Tamandua tetradactyla: one gene and its partners. The protein of the gene in region 1 interacts with the protein of each later gene in a biochemical or structural test. Links are inferred from orthologs where the notes say so. Each region holds a gene or a part of one and is shown in the gene's direction. Other genes may lie near its edges.

What was found. The genes of interacting proteins can lie anywhere in the genome.
Region 2: the proteins of BCL2 (region 1) and BAD form a complex in vitro, tested with the Homo sapiens proteins (5 studies listed by BioGRID and IntAct, with this or other methods). The link is inferred for Tamandua tetradactyla from reciprocal best matches to the Homo sapiens genes BCL2 and BAD.
Region 3: the proteins of BCL2 (region 1) and PMAIP1 interact in a biophysical measurement, tested with the Homo sapiens proteins (2 studies listed by BioGRID and IntAct, with this or other methods). The link is inferred for Tamandua tetradactyla from reciprocal best matches to the Homo sapiens genes BCL2 and PMAIP1.

What each region holds. Positions count from the first base shown.
Region 1 is NC_135344.1:18,921,639-18,929,020, forward strand, and holds the start of BCL2 (apoptosis regulator Bcl-2), read left to right. Parts: upstream 1-4,360; 5' UTR 4,361-5,124; intron 5,125-5,349; 5' UTR 5,350-5,639; coding exon 5,640-6,218; intron 6,219-7,382. UniProt on the Homo sapiens protein: Suppresses apoptosis in a variety of cell systems including factor-dependent lymphohematopoietic and neural cells. Regulates cell death by controlling the mitochondrial membrane permeability. Appears to function in a feedback loop system with caspases.
Region 2 is NC_135335.1:10,363,506-10,370,966, forward strand, and holds the start of BAD (bcl2-associated agonist of cell death), read left to right. Parts: upstream 1-4,443; 5' UTR 4,444-4,566; exon of another isoform or gene 4,567-4,601; intron 4,602-4,641; exon of another isoform or gene 4,642-5,466; intron 5,467-5,551; 5' UTR 5,552-5,559; coding exon 5,560-5,737; intron 5,738-7,461. Other genes in the region: integral membrane protein GPR137, read right to left, coding at 825-984, 1,293-1,411, 1,559-1,687, 1,787-1,936, 2,040-2,265, 2,961-3,010, 3,155-3,604, 3,691-3,744. UniProt on the Homo sapiens protein: Promotes cell death. Successfully competes for the binding to Bcl-X(L), Bcl-2 and Bcl-W, thereby affecting the level of heterodimerization of these proteins with BAX. Can reverse the death repressor activity of Bcl-X(L), but not that of Bcl-2.
Region 3 is NC_135344.1:22,426,023-22,433,048, reverse strand, and holds the start of PMAIP1 (phorbol-12-myristate-13-acetate-induced protein 1), read left to right. Parts: upstream 1-4,008; 5' UTR 4,009-4,194; coding exon 4,195-4,252; intron 4,253-6,766; coding exon 6,767-6,873; 3' UTR 6,874-7,026. UniProt on the Homo sapiens protein: Promotes activation of caspases and apoptosis. Promotes mitochondrial membrane changes and efflux of apoptogenic proteins from the mitochondria. Contributes to p53/TP53-dependent apoptosis after radiation exposure. Promotes proteasomal degradation of MCL1.

The sequences.
Region 1 (7,382 bases):
TATATCCCTGTGTTAAAAATGGGCATGGAGAGGCTACTCACTAGCTCAAGGTCACAGCCACGACTGATGGGGCCAGGATTCAAACCCCTGATTTCTGGTTTCTGAGCTCTGAACCTCTGCAGTGAACTCCAAGTAGCAGCACAGGTGGACTCTGAAGACAGCTAGCAAGGTTAAGGATGGTTTTGCAGAGGAGGGAATTCTTGGGCAGAAACTTGAGCAATGAGTATGAATTAACGGTGTGTAAAGGCTGGGTTCATATGTGCTAAGGCCAGAGACATGAGAGGGACTGGCATATTCCAGGAACCACAAAAAAATGAACACAGCTTCAGGAAGGCGATGTGGAAGGAAAGAGTGGGCGTTGAGGTGGTAGGGCTGGGCTGGATAAAGTCATGCAAAGGGGATGAGATTTCAGCCTTTGACAAACTTCGAAAACAAAAGGACCAGATTTTAGCTGTTGAAAAATCGTGAGACCCATTGAAATTTAGTTCTAATGTTGCTGAGCCCTTAGGCCTTGGAGTAAACCCTCAGACCTTGTTAAGTTTGAAAGATACCATGTTAACCTAGGTTTTTCTAGTTGCTTTCATCAGCAATGAATATCTGGGAGATACTGTGCTTTGTCCTAAATAGCTTAAGAGGATAAAAGTTAGTTATTACCCATAAGAATGTAAATTCTTTGCCTACTCCACCTCAGTACCGTGCTATCTCATGTTGCTTGTTTCTGTTGCTGCAGTTTCAATCCAATGAGAGCACCAGGCATTTGAAAAATATTAAGAAATTTAAGACAGGTTCTACCCTTAGTTTTTTGAAGCTCAAATGCCAAGTCTTTAATTTAATGGGAAAAGTATGCTACTTGTGAATTACTAGGCTTTCCTTTGTAAGCCAAAAGCAAACATTTGCCTGCTCTTAAGCTTCCACAACAGAGTGATTTATGTGTAGTGTGTTGTTTAAATGTTTGCTGTTTAATTATTCTGAACATATTTTGAGGTTTGGGACCTACCATAAATAAGGTGGGGTTCTAGGTTAAACCAAGCCTTGTTGGCTTAGATTTGGCATCGTGTGGCTTTAGGGCCCACAGCAGGCTTGGATGCTCTGCAGCAGAAGGCAGGCTCAGGGCATGAATGAATCGGAAACAGGATTCATCAATGGGGCTTGTATGAAGTTTGTCTACAAACTATTCAAACACTTTGGTCAGGAAGGTAAAGAGTGTAGCACTGTTCAGTGCAAGTTTATAATGTACTTGAAATTGGAAACATTTAGAACATTTTGGATTGCTTTTATAGATCTGCGGGATCTCGTTTTTTAAGCAGTTCATTTTTTCTCATAGAAATTGTTTGGACTACTTGTTTTTACTCTCTCTAGTCAGTTCCTTTTGTTTATGTATTTATTTCCATATTATAAAAATTATGGAGTTTGCCTAAATGGTTTGGGGGTCATGTTTTACATTTCTAACTTTTTCACATCAGTTCCCTCTCTTTTAATGGTCTCGTTCTATCCTGATTTTAAATACAAAGTTAAATGGTTGGGAAGATGCCATATATATGCCTATATTGAACATTAGTATGTCCAGATTAGAATAATAGGAACATTAATATTGGTGATGGATGAAAATAACTTTCTAAATTATACTGCTAAACATCAACCAGTAGGTGGCGAAATCTGGCAATAAAAGCTTTTTGTTTGGCAGATTGGGAATAAAAAAGAAAACAGGCCTTTCAGACTCTTGAGACAATCTCCATTTCCTGCATCTGGTTCTTTTCTCCTCCTGGTGCCACCCTACCCTGAGAATCAAAGCTGGCAAAAGGGGTCATCCATGGGATCTTAATGGGAGGAGACATCTGGGAAAGAGAAGAGTCCACAGCGCATACCTGTAGAAGGCTGCTGGAAGGTCTGGGTCCCAGATCTCGCCACCAATCCCAGAACTGCTGGCTCAGGCCAGTGTTCCATCTACCACCTCATTACCCAGAGACAAAGGGTTAACGTTACATACTTCCTGGGAATGCTCGCCCTTATGATTTTAAGTGGATTCTGTTATGCATGGGCTCTGAACAGAATAGAATTACTCTTTGGATTGAAAGAGTATCCAAAACATTCCAGGGACTATATAACCTTAGAAAAGGACTGTGATGTAGATATATCTGGAGAGAGGTGTTTGGTTAGAGCCAAGACACCATATGAGGAATTATTCTGGGAAAACTCATAAGGTGAGGCTTCATGAGAGCAAACGAAGGGAAAAATATAAGGGAGCTTTTCGTTCCTTGGGAATAGGAGATATTCCTCCTGGTTGCCCCCTTCGCGGAAGTACAATCTCTTTTCCAGCCCTAGAGCCTCTAATTTCCTCAAAAACAGTAATTTCCTCTCTCTCTCACAAGTAATTTTTTTGGGTTTAAAACCAGGATCTAAGAAGATCCAAAGGGAGTAAACTACAATGTTGTAGAATTAGAATGATTTTGACTATTTCTTTGAGAACAGATACTGAAGTTCATTCTATAGCAGGGCTGTCTGCAGACACCTCCGCACTGCCCACCAAGCACAGGGGGCTTGGGCACAGCCCTTACACGGTGGAGGGAGTGTCTTGCTTCCTTCCCTCTTGCTTGGCTAAGAGGTTTGTACCAGGGCATCCATTCCTATGTGTAAGATGTTTGCACACTGGCAGATTGGGGTGGTAGATGAAGAAATGAAAAAAAAATGGTGTGCTCATTTTGCTTTAAGAATAAATGCTTTGTTTTTAGACTAGGAACGAGACAAAATATCGGAGACTGTGCCAGAAGATATTTGCACACATTGTAGTACTCATTTGTCATGTTTCTGTGACACAGTAACCAACTGTCCCTATATATTTGTACTTGAGCCCTATTAAGTAAGCTGCTGTGCTTTTAGTAAACATTTATTTCTCGGTGCTTTGTCAGACTCAGAGACAAAAATAGTGAAACGTGTACAGCTTGTTTGTCCTCTTGTCCTTTTCACGAAACTAAGAACTATTCCAACTGATGAATTAAAAAATACTTGCGTATGTATGTATTTACATATATGTACGTGTACATATACTACGTATATTACATATAATCTGAGAGGCTGAGTCCCGTAGGGCTGGCTGCTTGGCACACGTGGTGGAGGCCTTTAGAAACCCACCGACGCCGGGACCGCGATTGCGCGGGCCTGGAAGTTGCCATGCAGCCCTTCCCAGCGTCCAGCCCTGAGCCAGTGCCCGAATCATCAGGACCAACGCTGACCCAACTGTTTTAAAGCCCTTGCTAACCACTGCTCGCCTCTTCACTAGCCCGCTGAGGGTTAGGTCTGGCCTTTGTCGCAGATCGGGTCCTCAGGTTGCCAACGCGCCGGAGGCGGGTGGGTGTGGGTTTGGGCGTGTGTCCGCGCGCACGCGCGCGCGGGTATATGTGCTGCGTGGGCAGCTCGGAAGCGACTTGAATGTAAACATGCTTCGGGGCTCCCCTCGCTAATGAACGTGCAGAGTCGCCTCTTCACGGGAGGGCAGCACTGAGGTCCCCGCTGGTTGGGGGCAGCAGCGGCCCGGGTCCTCCCGGCGGCCGCGGGCTGGTCACACACAGGCGCGCGCACCCGCGCACGCGTACACACACACACATACACACACACACACACACACACACACACACACACACACACGGTTAGGAAAGCTCAAAGCGATTCCCCGGTGCCTTTCCGGGCTTGTTTCCCTGGCGCGCCGCCGGGCCGCCCCCTCCGCGCTCCGCCGCTGCCCGGCCGGCCTCGCGCTCTTCCCTAGGCGCCCCGGCCCCCGGCGCCCGCGCAGCCCCGCCCCGAGGCCCCAGAGCGCGCGCCCGGCCGCCGCAGGCCCGAGGAGGCCCCGCGCACACCCACCGCGCCGCGGCCGCCCGGGAGGCCTGCGCCGCCCGCGCCACCCACTGGCCGGCCCCGCGGGCAGGCGGCGGCCCCGAGAGACGGCCGTGCGCGCCATGTGTCCGCGCCGCTCCGGGTCCGGCCGGCCGCGGGGCCTTTAACCCGGGCCCCGGCGCGGGGCGGCTCCGAGGAGAGCTCTTTCTTTCTTCTTTTTTTGAATGAACCGTGTGACGTACGCACAGGAAACCAGGCGGGTTGAGTGGAGAATGAAGTCAGAGGCCAGACCCCCCGCCCGCGCCCGCCCCCTTCCTCCCCGCCCCCTCCCCCGCCCGCGCGCCCGCCCGCCCGCCCGCTCGCCCGCCCCCGGCGCGCCCGCCCCGCGCTCTCGGTTTCCCTGCCGAGTTGCCGCTATCGCCGCCGCCGCCACCGCGAGTGGAGGTGCCCGGGCGCCGGGAGCTCCCCGCCGGCGCGGCCGTCCCCGCTCGGAGCGGGCTGCGCGGCCGAGCAGCCGGGGAGGCGGGCGCCGCCGCCACCGCGCGGGAGGAGGAGCAGGAGGAGAAAGGGTGCGCAGCCCGGAGGCGGGGTGCGCCGGTGGGGTGCAGCGGAAGAGGGGGTCCAGGGGGGAGAACTTCGTAGCAGTCATCCTTTTTAGGAAAAGAGGGAAAAAATAAAACCCTCCCCCGCCACCCCTTTCTCCCCACCCCTCGCGGCACCACACACAGCGCGGGCTCCTCGCGCTCGGCACCCGCGGCCCGGGCGCGTCGTGCCTGCATTTATCCAGCAGCTTTTCGGAAAATGCATTTGCTGGTCGGACTTTAATCCGAAGAGGATTCCTGCCCCCGGCCGGGGCTCGTCCACCGTGCCCCCTCCCCCTGTTTCTCTCCCCCCGGAGGCGTGAGGCAGCCCCGTGGATGGGGATCCGGGTCTGTGCCCGCGCGTGTCTGTGCGTGTGTAAATTGCCGAGAGGGGGAAATCACAGGACTTCTGCAAATACTGGACTGAAAATTGTAATTCAGCCGCCGCCGCCGCTGCCTTTTCCTCTCGTGCTCTTGAGATCTCCGATTGGGATTCCTACGGATTGACATTTCTGGGAAGCAGAAGTCGACTATTCAATTTGGAAATTCTCCTCATTTTTTCAGCCCGCTCCCGACTCCTGGTTCATTTGCAAGTTTCTCAGCAGCTCTAACCGGAGAGTTCTGAAGATCGATGGGATCTTTGCCTTATGCATTGGTTTTGTTTTTGCAAAAAAGGAAACTTGACAGAGGATCATGCTGTCCTTAAAAAATACAAGTAAGTTCTTTGCACAGGAAATCGGTTTAATGTAACTTTTAGAGGAAACATTTGCGATTTTAACTTTAAGTGCGGTAGTGGACGTTTAATTTGCAGGCAGTTCAATACATTCTTTTTAGCCATGTAACTTGTAATGTGTCTGCTCTGCTTTCACCCGTGCATAAAGGAAAATGCACCTGATTGTGACTTACTAGTGTTCCTTCTTTTTCTTTTTTAACCTTTCAGCATCACGGAGGAAGTAGACCGATATTAACGATAATTAATGCTCATCATGTGCCTCATGAAATAAAGATCCGAAAGGAATTTCAATCTAAAAATTTCCTGCATCTCATGCCAAGGGGGAAACACCAGAGTCAAGTGTTCCGCGTGGCTGAAGACACCCCCTCATCCAAGAATGCAAAGCACATCCAATAAAATAGCTGGATTATAACTACTCTTCTTTCTTTCGGGGCAGTGGGGTGGGAGCGGGGGCGAGAGGGGCCGTTGGTCCCGGGCTGCTGTTGCTCGGGGGAAGGATGGCGCACGCCGGGAGAACAGGGTATGATAATCGGGAGATAGTGATGAAGTACATCCATTATAAGCTGTCGCAGAGGGGCTACGAGTGGGATGCCAGAGATGCGGGCGCCGTGGCCCCGGGGGCCGCCCCGGAGCCGGGCGTCTTCTCCTCCCAGCCGGGGCACGCACCCCCGCCCGCTGCGCCCCGGGACCAGCCGGCCAGGACCTCGCCGCCGCCGCCCCCGGCCGCCCCCGCCGCGGGGCCTGCGCTCAGCCCGGTGCCACCTGTGGTCCACCTGACCCTGCGCCAGGCCGGCGATGACTTCTCTCGTCGCTACCGCCGCGACTTCGCCGAGATGTCGAGCCAGTTGCACCTGACCCCCTTCACCGCGAGGGGACGCTTTGCCACGGTGGTGGAGGAGCTCTTCAGGGACGGGGTGAACTGGGGGAGGATCGTGGCCTTCTTTGAGTTCGGTGGGGTCATGTGCGTGGAGAGCGTCAACCGGGAGATGTCGCCCCTGGTGGACAACATCGCCCTGTGGATGACCGAGTACCTGAACCGGCACCTGCACACCTGGATCCAGGATAACGGAGGCTGGGTAGGTGCACGTCTGGCTGCGTGTGAGTCTGTGCATGACGTCTGACGTCCGAAGTGCCCCGGGCACGGGGGGCTGGGGGTGAACTCCGGGGTCCAGCGCAGGCTGCTGAGCCGGTGAAATCAATTCGGGGTGTTTGTTCCCCGCTCCCTCCCTCTCCCTTCCCCTCTACCGGGCTTTCCCTGCCAACCCTTCTGTGACAAATCCTTCCCGCCAAAAGTGTTTTTCCTTGATTTGCCAGCCGTTGAATGTTCAAAGATCCAGCCTTTGCTACCCAGTGGGATCTCGTGATAAACTGTGTTCCTGAAGTGTTTCTCAGACTGTGATCCAGGGATCCCCTGAAGCGCGGTTATCTGGTCTGGGTAGCGTGTTGACTTTGGAGATTGCAGGGGCTGCTGCTGCCTGCTGAACTAGACCCCAGTGCTGGGTCCCCCAGGAGCTCCCTCTTAGACACGCCCCCCCGGGGGGGGGGTGCTGCTGTGTACTAACGATTGAGAACCACTCAGAGGATCTAGGGGGGTGCCTTTCTGACTTTCTTGGTAAACTCTACCAGAGAGAAGAACCACTCAAGCCCCTCTTCCTGGAATTCGTAAGTGCGTTTGTAAAGAGCTAAGGTGACATTGGAAAAGCTGATGGACTGCATGCAGTGCGTCACTTTCCCAGCCGTCCTGAGCATGTGCCTTGAAGAACACCGGGATAGGATGCTCGGTTTATCTCATGAGTGACCCTTTGCACAGGCTGCGTACTTGACGTTCCATTTCTATCACTGGTGTGTGGTTTAAAAGTTCTCTGGAATTTTGGTCTCTTTTACTTTTCACCACCTAGAATCCACATCAGTTTGTGGTCTCCTTTGCTGAGAAAAGCTGCATCTAGGGTATCTGTGTGAAGCATAGATAATCTGATTCTTACCTGTGGATTCTCTCCTGCTCTGCCTTTCGTGGAAGTGATCAATGCCTGTAGTTTTGAAGAACAGCTGTGAGATGGTTTTCTTTTCCTGGTACTATACTAGATAGAGCTTCCATCATTTTATTGTGCAGCTGCTCTTTTCTGTGGACTTGAGGGGAGGGATGCAGGTCCGAAGACATAAGGATTGTAATTAAGATCTGCATCTTCTATCTAAAGTTAATTTATGAAAATTCATAAAGTTAATTTATGAAAAAGTAAAAG
Region 2 (7,461 bases), on another chromosome or scaffold:
AGAGAAAGAAGGGGACCCCAAGACCACCAGGCAGACGCGGGGTGGGGGGCAGCCAGCCCACCTAGCCAAATGCATGCCCTGATAGACACAAGCTGCTCGGTCACCATGCTAACACCTCCATAGGCCCTGGGCTAACTCCTGGCAACTGGACGCCAGGTTGAGGGTGGTGAGAAGGAAACAGGGTATCCCCAAGTTCCCATTTATTGGGGGTAAGAGGCATAATAGCCACATAATCACCATGCTACAGGCCCTAGGGGATGAGCCACCATTCCCTGACCAGGAGATGGCAGGCTTCAAAAAGGAGGTGACATCTGAAGCAAGTCTTGGGGAAAGGAGCCTGGGAGAACAAAGACCTGTCTCTCTTCCCTCCTTGGCACCCTCTCCTTGCCCACCAGCCACAGCAGAGGGCAGCAGCCCTTCTCAGCCCAGGAGCCCTCTTCAGGCCAAGGCTGACCAAACAGGCAGAGATGAGAGAAGAATACAAAGCAGTCAAGAGAAGACGGACAGAAGAACAGACACAGGAGACAGACGCTGTTTATTGAGTGGTTGATGCAGGAGAGGTAGCTGGCTCCGGCGTGGACGCGGAGGCAGCAGCTCATGCCGGCGTGTTGTGGGCATGTGGCAGCTACGGCCAGGCCCCCATCCTAAGTGGGGGGGACGGCACAAGCTCACTACGACAGGAGCAGCCAGGGAGCCCGCTGGGGAGCAGGCAGCCACAGCCCCCGGGACCCCAGGCAAGAAGCTGCAGATGAACTTGGCCCAGGGGCCTGGGTGAAGGGGGACTGGGGTCTGGGCATCCTGGGGAGCAGGAGGGGAGTGGGGGTTCACGTCTGTGGGGTGGAATAGAGACAGTGGTGGTGGCCGCCGGGTCCCGGCACCTGGGAGAAGAGCAGAGGAGAGGTCCGCGTCTGGCTGCCTCCGCACCAGCCCGGCTCACGCCCGATGGCGCCGTACCAGCTGCCTGAGCCTAGGCTGCCTGACATGCTGCAGACAGAGAAATAGGGTCAGTCCCAGGACAGTGACTGGGGCCACATGCATGGGAGCTGGGGGAGAGACCGAGGCTTAGAACAGAGCATGCTGGGAGGAGCTCCCGGGGAGCAGCCCCATGCCCCAGACCTCCAGGGCCCAAGGCTTGAGCCCCCGAGACCATTGCAAACTGCACCTTGGGATGGGGCGGGGCATGGGGTCAGCAATAGAAAAACCAGAGGTAGAACCCAGCCAGGGCCAGCGATGGGGGGACAAGACCAGGCTGTAGGTGCCCAAGGCTCCCGAGGCAGGGCGGGGACTCCTACCTGGTGCTCTCACCCCTGCTGTGCTCCCAGGAGCAGCCGTCGTCCTCACAGTGCCCAGCTCGATCGAAGAAGTAGGAACGGGAGCCAAAGACATGCCCACTGAGGATGCGGCTGGTGCTCTAGGGGGAGGAGACCACCCTCAGCACCTTCTCCCGGCTGCCACTGGCCTCCCATAAATCCCCCTGCCCCTGGCACTGCCACATCTGGCCCTCTCTCCACCGGCCCTGCAGCGGGGGGTGGTGGTGGGGTGGACTGGAGGCCCTCACCAGGTCCTGTGCCGGCCGGTGCACCCGGAAAAAGCCCACCAGCAGCGTGGTGGGCAACAGCTCCCACACAAAGAGGATGAGGCCGAACACCAGGTACCCTTTGTCCCCCAGGTCATTCACCAGGTCCGCCTGGGGGAAGGAAGGAAGGTACAGGGCTTGTTCCCATCTGCAATGGTGCCAATGGACCAGCGGGCCAGCCGGGAGCTGCGGCTGCTCCAGGATGCCCACCTGATCGGACACGTTGTACCAGTCGTAGTCGAAGGCGTCCAGCCGGCTCCGCGGGGCCAAGGCCAGGGCTGCCAAGTTGTAGCAGGCCCGGCTAGCATAGAGTAGGACCATGGCGCCACCCATGGCAGCTGCCTGGCACACACTGGTCCCCTGGCAAAGGTTTGTGACAGCTCAGGGAGAGGCAGCGCCCGGCTCCCTCTCTACCCTGAGGACCGCGGTTCCATACACGGGGCATCCGAGCCTCGGGGCCTACCTTGGTTTCCAGGTAGATGCTGGTGGAGGGGGCCCGCCGGGCCACCAGGCAGAGGCAGGCAGCAAGAGAGAGCGCGCAGATGACGAAGAGGGAGTCGCTCACCAGGACTCGTACCAGCAGCAGGGCCCAGGGCTGTGCCCGGCGCCGGTGGGACAGCACAGCGCACAGCACGTTCACCAGCAGAAAGAGCAGGGAGGCTCCCACAAAGGCCCCGCGCACAGCCAGCCTGCAGCCCACAGCACGGTCGGCTCCAGGTAGAGGCCCCCCGGCTCCCACCGCCCACCCCACCTCCCCACGGAGACCCCGGAGACCCCAGAGCCCGTCGGGACCTGCTCCTCCCCTTTGACAGATGGGGAAACTGAGGCCCAAAGAGGTCGGTAGGCGATCTGACAGCTGTGATACCGGGAATCAGACACCTGGGTTTGAGCCCTGGCTCTGCTTCCCGCCAGCTCTGTGACCTTGAACCTGCTGCTTTACCTGGCTGGGCTTCGGTTTCTTCATCTCCCGGATGGGGATAATAAGGACCTCACAGGCTAATTGTAAAACTTAAAGGTTTGTGACGGCTCTGTTATAAACTCTAAGATATTCTTACAAACCACAGGGGCATTGCTGCCCAGTGTCACCCAGAGGTGCAGTCTGACTCTGGAGCACCCATGGGCTGGTGCTTCCTGCCTTTCCTCAGACAATGAGACCCTCATCGCGCACACCCCCCTCCGCCGCCCCTGGCCCTTACAGGCTCACAGCTGCTTCCATTATTGTTGCCCTTCACACACGCAACGCCTCTAGTCCCGCCACCTGTGCCAGGTGCTTTAACTTTTCCAAGCTCGTTCACACACATTCCCTGAAGGTCTTCGTCTCAGCCCAGCAAGGTGAGGAGGGGTGGGAGGTGGCCCAAGCCCCCCCGGTGCCCTGAGTACTTACAAGCCTCGGCTCATCTCTGGCCGACGCTTCGCCTTGGCCTTGAACACCACCTGGGAGCAGAGATGCCCATCAGTCTTTGCAGCCCTTGGGGGCCCCTCACTACACACACACACACACACACACACACACACACACACACACACACACACACACACACACACACACCCTCCAACACCACCCGTTCCGACAGTTACCTGGGCAAAGTAGAGGTTCATGAGGGTCAGAGTGAAGAATTGCAGGCAGACGGGGCAGCAGTAGAGAAGCCAAAAGGGCAGGGGCCCCAGGCGGTTGGCTCGCGGGGTATCTCGGAAGTAGAAGGAAAAGAGGGTGGTACGCAAGGCAGCCCACAGCAGACAGAGTGCCAGGAACACCGTCTGATAGCTGAGACGCTTGTGCCCATACAGGAGCACCAGCCAGAGCTGGGCATAGACGGAGAAGAAGAGCAGGGCGTACAGGGTGGTGTAGGCTGCAGTGAGTCCCAGGGTCACGGCGGGCGGCAGCGCAGGCACCAGCCCAGCAGCAGGCACCAGGCCAGACAGGTTACTCTCCATGGCAGGGACGGCGGCCCGAATCCCGGAGACAGAGATGGAGGGGCTGGCCGGCAGCCAGGGAAATAAATACAGAGGGGAGAGGATCACAGGGTGCTGAGACAGAGAGATGGGGGAGTTCAGGAGGAAAGAAGTTGTGGCTGGCGCAGGCCCTTCTTCCGTGCCAGAGAGACCCTTTGCACCTGGGGGGCACCGACAGCCTGGGCCCTGAGCCGGAGCTCCTCACGCAGGGACATACGCTCCTCTCCAGAGCAGACGGGGGTCTCCTCCTTGGGCCACCCCCAGAACCCTGGGTGTGGGGGTGCAGATGCTGAAGGAGAGGGGTCCCAGGCCTTGGTCGCTCGGGAGGGTCCCAGCAGGAGGGGGAGAGCTGGCCTATGTCCGTTTGCTCAGGACAGCGGCCACTGCAGGGGTGCCCCAACGTCCCGCTCTCCCCCTCCCCAGGCTGGGAGGGAACTCGCTCCCTTCCAGTAATCGGGGTGGGGGGAGCGCCTCTGCCCTCTCGGGATTCCGGACGCCGCCCCCACCCCACCCCCCACCGCGTCCGCTCTCTGGTCGCGGGGGGCGGGAAGAGGCCGACACCGGGTGCCCGCGGCCGCCGCTGGGGAGCCGGCTCCGGTCGCCGGGACCCGGAGCTCCAGCTCCCCGGCTCCCGCTGTTCCGCCCCCTCCTGAGCCTGCGCCTGCGCCGTTCGCTACGCAAATTGCGCAGGGGCCGGCCCTGGCTCCGCAGCCCCGCGCCGCGCCCGCCGTGGGGCGGTTCGAGAATCGGCGCGAGCTGCGCTGCGGGCGGGTGCCAGGGGTTACGCGAGGTGGCGGGCGGCAGGGACGCGGGGAGGGCGCCGCACCCGCCCGTACGCCCTGGGGGGGCGCCGTGGCCTGGACCACTGCGCGGGCTCCCACGTTTCCCTCCCCTATTCCCGATTTGGATCGCGCCGCCCGCACGGGGGCGGGGACTTCGCCTCTGAAGGACACTTCCGCCCACAGTCAAGATGGCTCCCCGGGCCCCGCCCCCGGGCCCTTAACCCGCGGGGTCCCACCGCGGCTCCCGCTCACCTGGTCAGAGCCTTGCACGCCGCCCCACCAGCCCTACGGTTCGCCCTCACAGGGGCCCCTGTCCTTTCTCCTGAGCCCGGGCGGCCATCCTGCCAGGGCGAGGCTCCCTCTCTTATCTCGAGCGCACCCGAGACGGCGCCGGGAGTGGTGCCCCAGCTGCGGGAGGCGCGGGGTTTCCACGCTGGGGAGGAGGAGGGCGCGGGACTTCCCGACCGGGTCACCCAGTGCAGACCGAGCAGTAACAGTAATTGGAGCCGCGGCTGGACATCAAGTACGGCCTCGGCTGGTGCTTTCGCCCCCAGCAATCACTGCTCGGTTTACAAAGTTTTCACTGGCTGCTGAGGGAGGTGTCATTATCCCCAATCCAGACGGGTGGAAACTAAGGCCCAGAGGGGCGGAAGGACTTGTCAGCAGAAGCAGGTCTCCAGGCTCCAAACGGGGACTCCAGAGAATCCCTCACCTGCTTCCGCACACACCCCAGGCGTGAGGAAGCTGGGAGCTGAGCATCCAGGGACCAGCCCGGGACCCGAGAAGAAGGCGAGGGGCAGGACGGGCGGTGGGGCGGGGCCCGGTTTGGCCACGCCTCGCGGCCGGCCCGAGTGACATTGCAAAAGCCTATTGGGTCCGGTCAGTGACAGTTCCCGTTGCCCAGGTAACTAGGGCCGGGCGCCCTGAGTACTGCAGGGAGGCGGCGGGCCCGGGTCAGGGGCCTCGAGATTGGGCTTAGGGTGAGACCTGTGGGCCGTTGCCTTGGCCGGGAACGAGCCGGGGACTGCCTCACAGCCCCAGGGCCCGATGGTAGAGTTGGGTACTGAGTGGATAGGCTGAGCTCCTCCTATCCGGGCCAGACTCTGAGGATAGATGGGGGGCCTGGGAGGCAGGCCGGATCTGCGGGTTCCACGGGTAGGGAGGGAGCCAGGGGTACCTGCCCCCCACCCGCAGCGGCCCCAGCTGTCTGCCCTGACCACCCACTCTCTTGTCCCCACAGCCCGGAGCATGTTCCAGATCCCAGAGTTTGAGCGGGAAGATTCCAGCCTTGCAGATAGGGATCTGGGCCCCAGAGCCTCAGGGGACCAGCCTTCAGGCCTGTGCAAGCACCACCACACGGTTCCAGGCCTCCTGGGAGACGACAGCGGTCATCAGGGGCAGCCAGCTGGCAGCAGCCACCATGGAGGTAGGCAATCTCTTCAACCACCTGGCCCTCATAGCCCCCTGTACCCCAGCCACATTGACACTCACTGACTGGCTTTGGATAAGTCCATAACCTTTCTGAGCCTCGGTTTTCCTCTTCTGTAAAACAGAACACTCATCACCACTCAAAGGCTGTTGGGTATTAGCAGCAATATATAGGAAGCACTAAATTATAGAGTACTGATGCAGAGTACTTGCTCGGAAGAAAACATAGCTGTTATTGTAGGGCCAGGACAAATCAAAAGAACAGGCAGGGAGAAAGGGGAAGTGACTTGCCTAAGGCCACACTTGCTTGATGGAGGTTCCTTTGGTAGGTGGGGCTGGGAGACTCCTTGGTGCCCTGCCCCTAGGCTATGCCCTGCCGCAGACTATACCCCACCCCCAGGCTGCCTTCTTTCCCTGGGACTGGGCTTTCTAGCTTCCTTCCAGCTCCTGCCCACTCCAGGGCTAACCTCAGCTGCCAGGGGCAGGTGACCCCAAGTGGTAGACAGCTCTCCCAGGCAGCGGGGCCTGTGGGGGTTTGAGAAAGATGCTAGTAGAAGTACCCCTGCAACCTGGGCTGTCCTTGCATCCACTGAGGCCCACTGCTGGGGACATTTCTCAGTAGTCCCCCGTGCTCAGCACAGGCCTAGGTCCCTGCCCTGGGACAATCCCAGAGGCCTTCTGGAAAACAAAAACATGATCCCAGTCCCTGTTTTCTTCAGGAGCATGAAAGCTTATGCAGCCTCTATCTCAACCCCCCCAACCCCTCGCTCACACACACACTCTAATAATTTCCAGATCTTTTTATTTGTTGTTTCACCCCCAACACACACACACACCTAGCAATAGTACTCATCCTTTGGTTCCCCTGGCAGCATTCACATGCTCCACCGATTGAGTGCTTGACGTGGGCCACGCACTGTTCAGTTACATCTGTGAGCAAAAGAAATAAAAATCCTGGCCTTGTGGAGCTCACATCTCTAGTGGGATGGGGAGAGACAGGCCATAAACAAACAAGCCGACAAAGGAAATTACAGAATGTGATAGAGGTTTGTATTGCTGCTGGGTGGGTGGAGGGAAAGCTGCAGAGAAAAGAGAATGTGGAGCCCTAGGGCATGGGGTGGTCAACCTAGCTAAGAAGCAAGAGGTTCCGGCAGATACCTGTGGGAAAGCCTTCCAGGTGGCGGGAACAGCAAATGCTAAGGCCCTGGGGGCAAGGTAGTGACTGCATTGTCCCGGGCTTCTATGGCTGGAGGGGACAGTGAGGGGAAACAAAGTTGGAGAGGAGAGTAAAAGAGTTAAGGGACAAGGGACAGGGACGGGCACAGGCAATCTGGGCTGGGTCTGGAAGGCCATTGGAAGGAAGGGCTTTGGCTTTAACCCCGAATGCAAACGCTGGAAGGCCTTTGAGCTGAGAGGGTGTGATGGGATTGGGGCATTACCATCACCAGGGTTGAGGGGAGACTGTAACTGGCAAAAACAGAAGCAGAGATAATCCTGTCGCAATAATCCAGGAAAGAAAAGAGGGGGGGTTGGGCCAGGGTGGTGACAGCGGCGGGTGGTGAGAAGAAGCTGGATTCCAGGTCTGTTTGAAAGGTCCAGCTGGTGTGATTTGCTGGCGACTGGGTGAAGGTTGAGAAGGAGGAGTCAAGGGGAGGGGGCGCCCCCAAATTTTTGGCCTGAGCCCCTGCAGGGATGGAGTAGCCCTTAACTGAGGTGGCAGAG
Region 3 (7,026 bases), about 3.5 Mb from region 1:
ACAGCTTGAATGCATGGGGGTAAGAGAAGGTGAGGTGTCAGTCATCCATTGTGGTTACAAGTTTTTGAGTCTGGGAGGCTGAAATAATTGTTTCAGATTTCTGCAGAAGTGGATTTGAAAGGTCTAAGACTTGGTTATCTGGGGCCCCATAAAACTGTCTCCAAACCTCTCTTCCTGCCTTCCCAGGGCCTTACATGATAGCTGAGAGAGAGAGAGAGACTACTTAAGTTTAGTGTGTTTGATGTTTCTATTTAAACGTGTGAACCCTTTGGCATTTATTATGATGCAGGTAATGAGATAGGAATCAGACCTTATTTTTATTTTTACTTTTTTAAATTCACACACAATTGGCTTAAACCATCTACCTTGTGTGTACTGAATTGACAGGTCACCTTAATTATCCACTTCATTTCCTCGTGTTTTGAGTCTGAATCTTTAACTCTCTGTTCTGTTCAACTAGTTGTCTTTGTAATTTTCTCTTTATGTTTGCTTTATAATATTTTGACAAACAGGCCTAGATCTCCTCCAGTTGTTATGTTCCTAAAAATAATAGTATTCTAATTAGAACTATACTACATTCTTAGATTAATTGGGCAGAGTCTTCCCATCTCGGAACAACGCTTCCATTATATCCTTCAGGACTCAACCAGTATTATTCATGTGGTTTTATATATGCCTTGGTAAGCATATGTGAGGTCATAAAATGAGTTTCAATAAATTAAAAAATATTGAAGTCATACAATATCTCTTCTCTGACCATAATGGAATGAAGATAGAAATTAATAACCGAGGAAGAAAATTCACAAATATGTGGAAATTAAACAATGCATTCTTAAACAACCAATGCATCAAAGAAACCACAAGGGAAATTAAGAAACATCTTGAGGCAAATGAAGACAAAACACATGACACCAAAGTTTATGGGATGCAGGAAAGGCAGTGCTGAGGGAGAAATTTATAGCTCTAAATACTTATATTAAAAAAAAAAAAAGATCTCAAATCAGAGACCTAACCTCACAACTGGAGAATCCAGAAAAAGAAGAGCAAACGAAAATGTAAAGTAAGGAGAAGGAAGGAAAGAACAAAGATTAGAGTGGAGATAAACGAAACAGACAATTAAAAAAATAATAAAATAATTGAGAGAATCAAAGAAACCAAATGCTAGTTATTTGAAAAGCTCAATCAAATCAACAAACCTTTAGCTAGACTGACAAAGGAAAAAAAGAAAAATAAAAAATGAAATGGGAGGGGCATTACTGTAGACTCCATATTTTGTAATTTGCTCATGTCGTTACTAGAAATTACATTTATGTCCAAGCACCTCCAAAGCATTTACTGAAAACTTGCTTGGCCTTGTGAGTGGGAAGTCAGTGGGGGGTGGGTAGGGGTGAGGTCACACTAAGACTATGAGCTTGTTTTCTGCCTGACAGATGTTCTTAACTTGTTCCCTCAGAAATCATCTTATTTATTCTCTCATCACACCTCATCTTGAGGTCAACAACCTGCGTATTTCATCACAAATGTACTCATCTCTCATATCCTTTTGTTTTCCCAAGTCCTATTTTCTCCATGAAATAAATGAATGATCATTTGATGACTAACCATGTTTTTTGTTTTGTTCTGTTTTATTGTTTTGTTTTGCTTTTTTAACATTAGCGATGACAATACAGACATAGGCAGATTGGTACTATTATTTTTTAACTTGGTCCATGAAAACTGATGATCTGGTAATAGTTTTTAAAATTGTCATCCTCACCAGTACTAATGTTTTTTTTTAACAACCAATAAGGGATTCTAACACTTCATAATAAATCTTTGTTATTTTACAGCCAAGATGGACATAATATGTTTACATTTCTTGAAGCCCAGGATGTATCACTTTTGCAGAGAGGGATACAGTTAAGAGAGGCTTTTTATCTTTAGCTTCTAACTAATTCTCACTACCCTTCCTCAGCAGAATGCTAGATCTGAAAAAGAGTTTATGGACCATCTCAAATCCAAAGTCATAAAAAGTCCTCTATAATCCAGATGGTTTTGACCTGTCTCTCCTTTTTCCTCCTCCAAGGAATTTGCGACTGTCTTCAGAGACTTGTGTAAAGTTTGCATCCAGTTTGGTCACATGATCAACAACCTTTTATAATGGCAATGTTAGAGGACAGGATTGATACACCCTTTGTAAGTATACAATGTTAAAATACACTTTTATTTTGTTTTGTAATCATTATATTTCAGGATGCGTGATTTGAACAGAATTTTACCAATTTTGCAAACTGGAAGTTAACGATGTTCTTTATGTATTAAATGTTTAAAAATGAGAATGAGGCCATGTAGGTTTGAGATAACATTTCAAGGCAGCATCTCCACTGTGCTTCCCGTGGCATAGGTGGTAACTCCTGAATTCTAGCCCCTGTTACCTCTGAGTATTTACTACCCTCAACAAAAGTCTCCTAAGTTGTTTAAATGCAAGAATAGTTTTGCACCACGCTTATAGCATTGTTTACACCCTCTACAGGACCAAGCCCTAATTAAATACTGGCTGGTTTGTGTTGATGGGAAGATTTAAGGCTCCAATGCCTACAGGGGCCAGATAATGTAAATGAGCAAAGCAAACAGAGCAGGGAGCAGTAAACTGGAGCTTGAAGCCCCTCTCAGTGGAGTGGCAGCCAGCTTATTCTCCACTTTTGGAAAACAGACTCAGAGCTTCTGATTTGTCCAGAGGCCTTCCGTATTTAAATGGTGACAATTAATTAAATTTTTCAAAAGACACTTTGCAGATCCATACTGAGAGCCCAAGCAAACAAATCTAGGGACCTCCTTAGTTCTCCATGGTTAGTTTGCAACCTCTGCATTAAATAGTGCCCATCATATAGGAATATTCCTTTTCTAAGAAACTGATGGTTGGGACGGTCATACAAGTTGTCAGTGGCGCTGCTCTCTCCTTATAGTGAACTTCGGTAATTGACTAAAATGTCAATTTTCACCCCAGTATTCTGGCCAACTAATAAGAATACCTGCTTTGTAAGATTGTTATGAGGATTGAAAAAACGCATGCCCGCCTCTTTAGCATGTTATCCCTTCCTAATTACTTCTTTTCCTCAAAGTAACGGAATTGCAATGGTACAAGTAATTTCACATTCTCAAATAGCTCACTGATACCTCCAGGAAAGCATTTGGAAGCTTTCTATATGATGCCCAGTCTTTCTGTGTTACTGAACATCCAGAATGGACAATATCGACCTTCTGTCTAGACGGACTAGGCTCTAACATTTAAAATCACAACCTTAATTCCGGGCGGAGAAACACCTCCCGCCCTCGGGCATCCGCACGCTCTCTCACATACACCCATCCCCAACTCCAACGCAGTGTTCTCCTGCTTTGCTCCAGGGTTTCAGCTCCGATGTTTCCATTTCTCCTCAGATCTCATATGGCCTCTGATACTCTCTCTACTGGTATCAAAGCTCTGTTCATTTTACTTTACTGCAACTAACCACAGGCTCCTAGTTCGTAAACCTGCTTTTTCGGAGCTCTTTCCAGGGTTTGTTTACCAGAAGTCTCTAATTGCCTATGCACGATAAGGACGGGAGCCGGGCCTCCCCCACCCCCAACTTCCCTGCTAGGAAAACCTTTGGGCTCTCGAGCCTGCTAGGACCCGCCACTATTGCAGCTCACTCTCCGTCCGATTGGTGCAGATTTTCAATGCGACCCCACCCTCCTCCTTCCCGTTTATTAGGAAGATAATTAATTTAGGGGCAGGGTCTGGCCCGCCGATTCCCGACTCCCGGGACTGTTGCCGCCTGGCCCGCCGTGCGTCCTGCGCCCCCCGCGGCGCGTCGGCGCCGCCACGGGGCTGGAGCGTGCCCGGGCAGGTCGCGCCCAGTGGCGCGGGTTTCCCGAACCAGCTCCGGGCCGCGCGCTGACTCCACCCATAGCGGGGGGGGGGGGGGCGGGGAGAGGGCGGGCCTGTCAGGATTCGCTATGTCACCGGGAAGTCCCTTTACGACCAGAGCGCGGGCCCCAGAGCCGTGTCCATAAAAGTGGTCGGGCCCACACCGAGTCGGGTTAGCAACTCGGCGTTGCCAGCCACCGCATCCCGCCCGGCCGCCTCGCGCATCCGGAACTCGCCGCAGGTGCTCGCGTTGTGGGATTGAGTTCCCGGTTGGGTCGGCAGCGGAGTTCCCGGCGGCTGCTGGAGAGATGCCTGGGAAGAAGGCGCGTAAGAACGCGCAGCCGAGCCCGGCGCGGACTCCGCCAGGTAAAGGACTACCTGGGGCCGGAGAAAGCCGGGTCGGGGTTGAGGTCTAGGTCGGAGTGGGGTCAGTCCTTCCCTCGGCCCCCGACTGGCTATAGAAGCTCAAGGTCGGGCCAGGTCTGCGCCCTCGCACGTGCCTTAGGGGCGCCTCGGGAAAGTTGTTTAGAGTTTCTCCCCCCACTCCCCGCAGGACCGTGAAGTTGGCGAGGGAGAGATTGGGATGCAGCTGCGTTTTAGCCGGGGCGGAAAGCCTCTTGCCCGTTCCCACTGTCATCCCTCTTTCCCTGCGCTGTGACCGTGGGGAGAAAAGTGCAAGTTCTGGCGGCTGTCTCGGGGAGAAAGTCATTGTCCTGGCAGGTGGGGGCGGAGCGGGCTCCGGGAGCAGCATGGCCTCCGCGCGCTTCCCCGGGCCCGCGCTCCGCCTTCTGAGTCGGGGACCTTTGAGGACCCCTGCTCGCTTACCGCGCCCTCCTCAACCCTTCCCAAACGTGAACCCCAACTTTTCCCTACACAGTAAAACACAAAAACAAAACCAAAAACAGAACCTGGCGCTATCATAGCTCTTCCCACGCAGGACTGACCGAGGGTTTATGGAGGTCCTGCAAAGACTCCCGCGTTCAGGAACCTATAAAGTCTTCCTTCTTTGTTGCTTAAGACAGCGCTTTTTGACAATTGACAATAATTGCGGAGGGTGGTGTAGGAGAAAACTCGGAGTGATACCCAATGCTTTTTCATCCATTCATTCCCCCATCTGTCACACCTCGCAAACAGCTCGGTCAGGTAAATTTCAGGTCGGTTCCCCTCCACCCCATATAAATCTTAGGAAAGAAGGCAGCCATCTGGTAAGGGGCACCGGCGAGGAAGACGCGCGCCTCCGGGTCCTACTGTGATTACATCAGACAGTTAATAGGTCTGTTACTTAGTTTCATTTCATAGGGCCCGCGCGTGTGCAGGGGATGTGGTGGTGCATTGCTAATGTGGCCATCGCTGAGTAGGGCCAGGACACCCTTTGGCTGCTGCTTGGTGTGGAAAAGCTTTGTTCGTCGTTTGTCAAGTCTAAGAGTTCTGACCATGTTTGCGTAAAGTCTAGCCTGTGCCTCGCCCCCTCAGCCATCTTACTTAGCTTCCAGTAACAAGGGACAGCAGAAAGTCCCTCTTACACTTGCTTAGATAATAATACATTTATACATGTGTAACTAATAAAAAAATTAAGGAAACAGGAGCTACTAGGAGCTGCTTTCTGCCCCTTTTTGGGTAAAAGGGATAATTTTGGCTCTTAGAATTCAGGGCTCCCGAAATTGTATGCTGAATGGTTTGGGTTTGGGGGGAGCTGTATGTTAATGTATCCCTCTTTAAGGAAAAACATATGTCTTTGTAAATGCTTCTCAAAGTCTTTGCAGAAAACCTGACCCCATTGCCTATAAAGAACGACATTTTACAAGCTTTATTAGAACCCCTTGTTAGCGGTTAGGAAGATTTCACTAAGTTTCCATAGAGAAAGAAATTAGTTGAAATGTAGGTTTAAAAATCTGCTTTACTATCTGTTTTCATTTATTTCAAGCTCAGTCACCAGATTTCATTTATAGTCATAATGATTTTTAATGTTCATAATCATAGTTTTGAAGAGAACCAAAAAGACTCTGAGTTGCTCTTTGAAATACTGAAGAAAATTGAAATTATGGTCAGTAGAGATTTAGGATTAATTTCATGTACTTAAAAATGCACTTAAAATTAGATTGTACACATTTTTCTTAAATTAATATTTAGTTATAGTACCTCCATTCTTAAAAATGTAGGTAAATGTGTAAGTTAAGCATCGCTTGTTTTCTGTTTCATTACTCACCCTTCATAAAGGCAATGGATTGGTACAGAATGGGAAGACATTGATTCTAGAGTCAAATGTACACTTTTAAATTATTTTAGACACTTTGGACTTAATTTTGGCGTAAGACTGCATGAGCCTTTTATGAAATAAGTGCAAAGGATGTTTTTTAAAAATGAGGGAAAGAACAAACTTAGATTTGCTTATTATCAAGAGTATAACCTAAGCTACCAATTATTGGCATTTGGAAAGTAAATCCTACTTGAAAACAACACAAAAGAGTTTAGAACTTGGCTTCTGCTTCCTGAGCTACCTAAAATAAGAGAGAAAAGGATATCACCTGGGGTTGGTGAAGACTCACTAACAATTTGTGGTGCCTGACATTAAATTCCATATTTGAGAGTAAGAGTAAGATGACAGTTGCCTCATCCACGATGCCTTTTTAAAAAAAGATTCCAAAGTAAATGTGGTTTTAGCTTATATTATTTTAAATTTGAGTCAGAAGGTTTTAGTGTATGATCTGTGTGTGTATGTGTATTTGTTCTAAGTGACCTTTTTGCTTTCAGTGCACCAGTGTACCTAACCCTTCAAGGCATAACTAGTCAGTTTGTTACTTTGAGGGGCACTTTTAACTCTTGTTGGTTACGGTTTGGAACCCTGTTGACTGACAGCAGTGTTTTGCTTTCCTTTTTCAGAGCCTGAGGTTGAGTGTGCTACTCAACTCAGAAGAATTGGAGATAAATTGAATTTCCGGCAGAAGCTTCTGAACCTGATAGCCAAACTCTTCCGCTCAGGAACCTGATTGCTACAGAACCATCCAAATGAGGAGACTCTTCAAATGGAAGATTCCCGAGTAGGTGCAGATTTCAACAATTAGAGAGAACATGAGGTGCAAATCGCTTGCTTTTGGATGCCCTAGGATATGAAGACGGAATATTTAAAAAATGAATTGCTG